Linked DNA regions of Drosophila melanogaster. The protein of the gene in region 1 interacts with the protein of each later gene in a pairwise test. Each region holds a gene or a part of one and is shown on either strand. Other genes may lie near its edges.

What was found.
Region 2: the proteins of CG11893 (region 1) and Creld interact in a two-hybrid assay, tested with the Drosophila melanogaster proteins (one large-scale study listed by BioGRID).

The regions. Positions count from the first base shown.
Region 1 is NT_033777.3:25,287,824-25,291,756, forward strand, and holds CG11893 (uncharacterized protein), read left to right. Parts: upstream 1-2,065; 5' UTR 2,066-2,103; coding exon 2,104-3,169; intron 3,170-3,232; coding exon 3,233-3,417; 3' UTR 3,418-3,543; downstream 3,544-3,933. Other genes in the region: CG13658 (uncharacterized protein), read left to right, coding at 1-216, 275-803, 869-1,053; CG31098 (uncharacterized protein), read right to left, coding at 3,673-3,866, 3,925-3,933.
Region 2 is NT_033779.5:100,829-104,761, forward strand, and holds Creld (cysteine rich with EGF like domains), read left to right. Parts: upstream 1-1,551; 5' UTR 1,552-1,630; coding exon 1,631-2,078; intron 2,079-2,177; coding exon 2,178-2,606; intron 2,607-2,687; coding exon 2,688-2,935; 3' UTR 2,936-3,049; coding exon of another isoform or gene 3,050-3,108; 3' UTR 3,109-3,314; downstream 3,315-3,933. Other genes in the region: Zir (Zizimin-related), read left to right, coding at 1-114, 188-366, 421-791, 1,048-1,090; Nhe1 (Na[+]/H[+] hydrogen exchanger 1), read right to left, coding at 3,645-3,933.

The DNA.
Region 1 (3,933 bases):
CTCGAGAGAATTCTCCGGGAGGCAGGGGATACTACCAAGCTCTATGCGCCTTGTATCTATCACAGCTTGGAACCTCATCAGGTGATGATATTCGAGGATCTGGTGCCACAGGGGTACACCGTCATCCGAGATCGTTATCCTAATAAAGAAGAACTTCAGAAAGCCTTCTTCAAGTTGGCAAAGTGGCATGCAGCCAGCATGAAAGTTTTAAATGAGGTGAACTAGTGCACCATCCATTGCAAAAGATAACAAAGTAAGAACTTTTCTTTTCAAGCGACCTGACTTTCTTAAGGAATTTAAGTATGGGTTATGGGGCATGCCCAACTTTCTGAACGATTCTATAGTGACAACTGGAGTACCCTGTTTCCTGGAAATGTTAGACAAGGTTCCGGAACTCACGAAATATAAGCCGTATTTCGAAAAAATAAAGGATAACTACATTCAGCAGATGAGTGCAGTCATGGAAGAATATCGCACTAATCCGAAGCCAAATAGGTACTACGTGCTGTGTCACGGGGATTTTCATGGGCGCAACATGATGTTTAGGTATAACAAGGAAACAGGGTCTTTCGAGGACGTAATGCTGGTGGATTTCCAGATCAGTAATGTTTGCCCCCTTTCCATTGACCTAATTTACTCCATCTTCATGGTAATGGATACGGAGGATCGTTGGGATCTTGGAAAGGAATATATCAATTATTATTTCTCTGTTCTGGCGGACACTCTGAAAAAAATAGGCTTCAAAGGTGAAATGCCAACTCAGACAGGAGTGTGGGAGCATATTCATGGCCATAAGGATTACGGTAAGGAACTAAAATTGAAAGACAGCTGTTGACTTGTATGCTTATTCCTTGTTACATCGTTATAGAATTCTTCATGATGACCAGCTTTCTACCCCTGGTGGCTGCCATGAATACGAAAACATTTAAAAGTATGGATTCATTTTTTGATCCGCAAACGAAACAAAAGTCTTTCTTTTTGGATGAATACATTACGGATGTCAAGATGCTATTGCGAAAATTCGAAGAACTGGGATATTTTAAAGATCTTTAATCCGATTGTATAAAATTAATTGAAATAAAAAAATAACTTCACATTTACCTACATAATTGCACTCGTTATTAACAAACATATACGTGTAAAGTTGCATGCATTCAAGGTAAAGTTCTTTCCCGCTATTGATTTCGAAATTCTAAAAGAAACATTTAAAACATACATTTATTATTTTATTGCTTATATATATTTACTGAAATCCGTTTCTTGCGTTTACCAAATATGTATATTATTATTATAAATAAAATCTTGGAATTTGTTTTATTAATATTGCTGACATCATCATGACTTCACATCATGACGGATAGGGCTGTTAAATTATAAACTTAAAGTTGGCAATGTGTCATTCAGTAATCAAAAAAGTCATTATCCTAATCATGTTCGGAACACGATGTTAAAGAATAGAACAAGGAAACAGAGGTCTTTGTGGCAGTAGTGATTTCAAGATCAGCTACACATATGCGCTCCAATACCATTGTCCCAATTTACTCCAACATCAAACTGAAAAAAGTGGGCTTCAGGGAGATATGTTCCCTTCCAGGAATCTAAAAGCATATCCATGGCCATAAGGATTACGGTCTTACGTCTTACATTCTGTCAAGATGCAGTTTCGAAAATATAGTTATAGTGAAACAACATAGTTATTTTGAAAATCTGTATCACGATTGTATAAAATCGGGCAAACTTGAATTTAATTCGTCTTCAAACATTTGATAATCCAGTAAGCTGGACTAACATTAAACATTTTTAGCGTTTTATACTTCTTACACCTGACCTAAATATTATTTCATAGAACAGAATAAATATCTGATTTATTTGTAAGTTTCTATTGATCACAGTATTTGTCCTGTAGAACAGATTTCAATGCATATTGATAAGATCATTGAGTAGACGTATTTCACACAAAATCGAAAAGTTTCGTGTTAAAAGGTTCAAGCCGCTTTCGAAAGCTCACTTAGCCAGCCTTTATAATAAGTGGGCACATAGGAAGGTTTAGTATACCCAGATCAAACATCATTCCGAATTGTTTGTTGAGAGCGCGAAATAAAAATGCCAGAAAACGCAGATACCGAGCAATTTAATGCCGATGAGCTGGAGGCTCCTGCATGGCTGAATGCCCAGTTTATTACTGACGTTCTTAGAACCTACGAAAAGTGTCCGGAACTGGAGGTTACCGATCTTAAAATCACTCCGGCGAGTGCCCAGGGAGATCACTACGCAAGCGTAATGTTCCGTACTACTGCTGAGTATACCACTTCGAAAGGAAAGTTCTGTAAGCCGCTAATCATTAAAACGATGCCAGAACAAGAAGGACACAAGAAGGATATGCTTAGCGACTCACATTTGTTCTCCACCGAGATTAATGCTTACACTAAGGCTCTGCCCGAATTCGAGAGAATTCTCCGGGAGGCAGGCGACGATACAAAGCTATTTGTGCCCTGTATCTACCACAGTCTAGAGCCTCGGCAGGTGTTAATATTCGAGGATTTGGTGCCGCAGGGATACTTCGTGATCCGAGATCGTCCAATAAACATGAACGAATACAAAAATGTTTTCTCCAAACTGGCCAAATGGCATGCTGTTAGCATGAAAGTCTTGAATGAGCAACCTGATATCTTGAAAGACTTCAAGTATGGGCTAATGGAAATGCCTTCTATTATGTCGGATCCAATGGTTACTACTGGAATGGACAACTTTTTGAAAATGATGGACCAGATTCCTGAACTTACAAAGTACAAGCCACACTTTGAGAAAATAAAAGAGAACTACATACAGCGTATGGGTGATGTAATGCAGGAATATCGCAAGAACGTTCAATCCGATGGATACTACGTGATGTGTCACGGAGATTTTCATGGCCGAAATATGATGTTCAATAAAAATGAGGAGGTCATGTTTGTAGATTTCCAAATCTGTAACCTGTGTCCCATTACAATCGATTTGAGTTATTCTGTGTACATGCTCATGGAGCCAGAGCAGCGATGGGATCTCGGAAAGGATCTTATTAACTTTTATTTTTCGGTTTTGGAGGACACGTTAAAAAAAGTTGGCTACAAGGGCAAGATGCCGACCAATGATGGTCTGTGGAAGCAAATACACCGACACAAGTTTTATGGTAAGTGCCTATTTTATTTATCGCCTAGTTTCAATAAGCCTAACCACTTCAATATTTTTACAGACTTCTTCCTTTTAACCACTTTTTCGCCAATGATTGTGGCCGTTAAAGCGAATACGTTTAAAATACACGAGTTAATTCAAGATCCGGAAATCAGACAAAAATCATACCTCTATGACCCTTATGTTCAAGATGTCAAAAAGCTTTTGGGTAAATATGAGGAAATGGGATACTTTAACGATCTTTGATCTATTTTTAAAGCTATCAGTTAAAATGTGTATATATTGCATGGCTAATTGATCGCAACTATATGAACCATGTAATTTTTTAGGGTTTCCTTTTGCTTTAAATTAAATAACAAAACGTATCATCAAATTAAATTTTTCTTTTTTTTTAATTTGGGTGTAAAATACTCATGGAATATTTGTCTGGAAAGCTTACTGTATGTGGAAGCCCGAATACTTTTGATCGAATGTAACGCAATCTTCATTAGCCCTTTGTCACTATTCATCCAAGAATCCAGATAGCTCGAATTCTTTAATAGTTCGCTGAAGGAAAGCCCGATACTTGGGGTTTTCAACATTTTCCCGGCGGAAACGATCACCGCTCTCAGTGCGTGAGTTCAGATCCTCAAGGTTTTCGAAACCAGCTCCCTCCCTGAAGATCAGTGGAGTCAGGCAAGTGGCGCCAATGACACCTATAATGGTGGAGTCATTATGAAAACCAATATAGATAAATGGTGATGATGATCATACCCATAAGAC
Region 2 (3,933 bases), on another chromosome or scaffold:
TTAATAGCTTGGATCCCGATAAGGCTTACATTCAAATTACTTATGTTGAACCCTACTTTGAAACATATGAAATGCGTCATCGTGAGACATACTTTGAGCGGAATTTCAATATAAGTATGATATGAATTAAACAGATAATTTAAATCGAAATTTAAAATTATAATTTTAACATTTTTGGTTTATGCAGAACGTTTTATATATGCCACGCCTTTTACTAAAAATGGAAAGGCACATGGCGAACTAAATGAGCAGTGTAAACGGAAAACGATTTTGACCACGGCGAATCACTTTCCATACGTAAAAACTCGCATTATGGTAATTAGCCGACAGCAAATAGTCCTGGAACCGATTGAAGTGGCAATTGAAGTAAGTTATGTTGTAAAATCCCAAAAGTTAATAAAATTAAACGTTATTGCCTAGGATATTCAAAAAAAAACATTGGAATTGGCAGCTGCCACGAATCAAGAGCCAGCAGACCCCAAAATATTGCAAATGGTACTGCAGGGATGTATTGGAACCACTGTTAACCAAGGACCGATGGAAATGGCGAGTGTGTTCCTTTCCAATTTATCCGACGGAACAACTGTACCGACAAAACACCAAAACAAACTTCGGTTGTGCTTTCGCGAGTTTTCAAAGCGTTGTGCTGATGCTTTGAAAAAGAATCGCAATCTAATACTTTCAGATCAAAAAGATTACCAACGAGAACTGGAACGTAACAACGATCGGTTCATTGAACGATTGACTCCCTTTATTACTCTTACATCAGTTCAGAATCATGGCGTTGTCAAGTAAGTTTTTATTGTTATACAGTGAAAAGGAAAGTTACATTGTGTATACATATGTATTAAAATTCTCATGTCTTTCTTATTTTGTTCCTCAACGGAGTGCTCTAAATAATAGACATAAGATGCTTAATTAGATATTTATAGAATCCAGCCTAATATAGATATTACTTTACTATATGACTATATTAAAAACCACCAGTGCAAAAAGTAAACATTAACTTATATAATTTTTTATTTCTTTTCTAAATACATCCAATAGGGCCAACGCGTACAACAACAAAAGTACTCCTTTGAAATGGTAACTTCTTGCACACGACTTAGTCTGCAATCAAATTATCATACTTTTGGTCTTTCATGTCTAGCGTATCGGATTATTTTAAGTAAATCTTACATTTTAAATTATCGATCTCTATAATTGCTAATGTAATAGCATAACTTTTTTATGCATCTAATAGATTAAGCAAAATATTAAAAAGCGAAAAAAATAAAGTTTACACTTTTTTACTTTTACGAAAATAGTTAAAGCAACATGTTTCAAGCTACAAGGAGGTGCAGTTAAAGTGAGTGAAACAAATCGTATCCTACAGCAACAAAATTTAATTGTCGATTACCAGAAAAGGGAAGTATTCGAAAATGATAATCCTCGAATTTCGCATGGGTCGTTAACGGTTGTTAGATTGACTAAGAGTGAGCTCCGTGAGGCAATGGTATCGAACGCGACCTATCGGTATTCGCGAAACTTTCGAGTATACTATCGATGTTTTTATTTATCGATAGTGTCGGCTTTAATTACACGTAAACTCAGATAGTTTGCCGGTTAAAAAGACAATAAATAAATAAAAATGAGAATCAAGTATTGTTGGCTCGCAACGCTAGTATTCATAGCCGCTGCTTCGGCGTCATATTCTCCCGAAAAGCCTGTTCCGCCGCCCTGCAGGGCATGTACCCAGCTTGTTAGCTCTTTCAGGGCAGGACTCGAAAGGACAAAACGCGGACACGCGGGCGGGGACACGGCATGGGAGGAGGAAAAGTTGCGTTCGTACAAGAACAGCGAGGTACGGCTAGTGGAGATCCAGGAGAAGCTATGTTCGGAAGGAGAAGTGATAAACAAGGATCACTGCCACAACCTGGCTAACGAGCACGAGGCGCTTCTCGAGGACTGGTTTATCCACAAACAAACAGAGAGTCCCGACCTGCAGTCATGGCTTTGCATCGATCAGCTAACAGTCTGCTGTCCGCTGAACACCTACGGACCAGACTGCCTGACCTGCACCGAGTGCAATGGAAATGGTAAGTAATGATAACCAAGTATTACAGGCCACAACTTACATAAGTGTGTCAACTTAAGATTGCCGTCTTCGTTAATTTTACCCACATGACAAATTTCAGGAAAATGCAAAGGAGACGGAACTAGAAAGGGTAACGGAAAGTGCAAATGTGATCCCGGCTATGCGGGTCCAAACTGCAACGAATGTGGACCGGAGCACTACGAATCATTCCGTGACGAAAAGAAATTGCTGTGTACACAGTGCCATGCGGCCTGTGGGGAAGGAGGCTGCACGGGAGGTGGTCCCAAGAGCTGCCGCAAGTGTAAGAAGGGCTGGAGCATGGACTCGGAGGCAGGATGTGTCGACATTAATGAGTGCTTGGAGCAACAGCGTCCAAACCCTTGCCGACCACAGCAGTTCTGCGTGAACAATGAGGGCTCCTTTAGTTGCCTGGAGTGTGATCGATCTTGCGATGGATGCGATGGTGATGGCCCTGACATGTGCAGGAAGTGTGCGGATGGCTATGAGTTGAAGGAAGGAAAGTGTCATGGTAAGTAAGACAGAAATTTAATAAATTTGCTTTTAAGCAACGCATTGTCCACTGTATGTATTGCGCCTCCGATCATTTAAGATATTTCTGCGGAGCAACGCAGCAACTACGTAAGCTTTACGCGAATGCTCACCTACTTCGGAATGTGCGTGGCCACCTGTGTCATCTTCCAGAGCTCTACTCATATTGCCTGGGGTTGCATTGTTGGGGCGGCAGTGGCAGGGTACATTGCTGTTTCCGAGTACTGGATCAACTCGGAGGCAGGAGGCGGCCACCAACCCGAAATAGATACAAAACAGTTGGAGGAACTAATAATGAAGTCTTTATAAGTCAAAAGACATGTCAACATTGCTTTCCTTTTATGATATACACGAGCGTTTTGAAAAGCATAATCTTTTAACATTCCCCCAAGACATCTAACGATTTTTGTACTTCGTTTGCAGTCCGCAGTGATTCAAACTCCACGGTGCTCGGTGAAGAGTCCACGCACGAAGAATTGTAAAAGTAACCAAAAACGCACACCTTTTGTAGCCAATTTTACTTTAATAGGTAATATTATCAATTGATATGTAATTATAAATTAGAATTTCAAAAAGCAGGGCATGACCATATTTTTTTACACGTACCACACTTAGATATTTATTTGGTTTCAAAAATGTATAAAATCACAAATACAGCATATATTCGTATGAATAAATATTTTTAACTAAAATTACTGACGTAGTGTGCTTTTGTGACGTCCAAATTTTCATTTTGAAGACCATCTGTCGTGTGCAATGTAATACTGCTTTAAGCGGATTAATAAAGGAGCTACAGTGATACGAATGAATCATTGCATTTGGATCTTACAAAATGAAAATTTGTAAACAAAAAATATACACAAGATAACAACCATCACCGCGCTATATAAATAAAAACTCTAAAAATATTAACTAGAGGAACTTAAGCATTACATACGATCGTTCCCTTTGGCTTCTAAAGTTATCCAACACAGTCCGAAACGGATACAGAGCTCCCCCCACAACAGCCATTTAATCCCTACGACCGTGTCAAATGAATTTGACTTGTGCTGGCCGCTAGTCCTATCTCTTCGTCCGATTCATCTGAATCCAATGGACTCACTCGAATGGCTTGGTACCACTTGTTAGTCAGGTCGGCCATCTGTGACTTGCACTCGTGCAATTCCTGACTATTGAACCGACGTGTAAAAAACGGAATAAAGTACTTGCGATCCATGCGCCCAAAACGATCGCGCGCTTGAGTAAAGGTGACGTCCTCTTCCTCGGTGAGTTCAGACAAGTGTTCAGAGTCGATTGCCTGGCCCCAT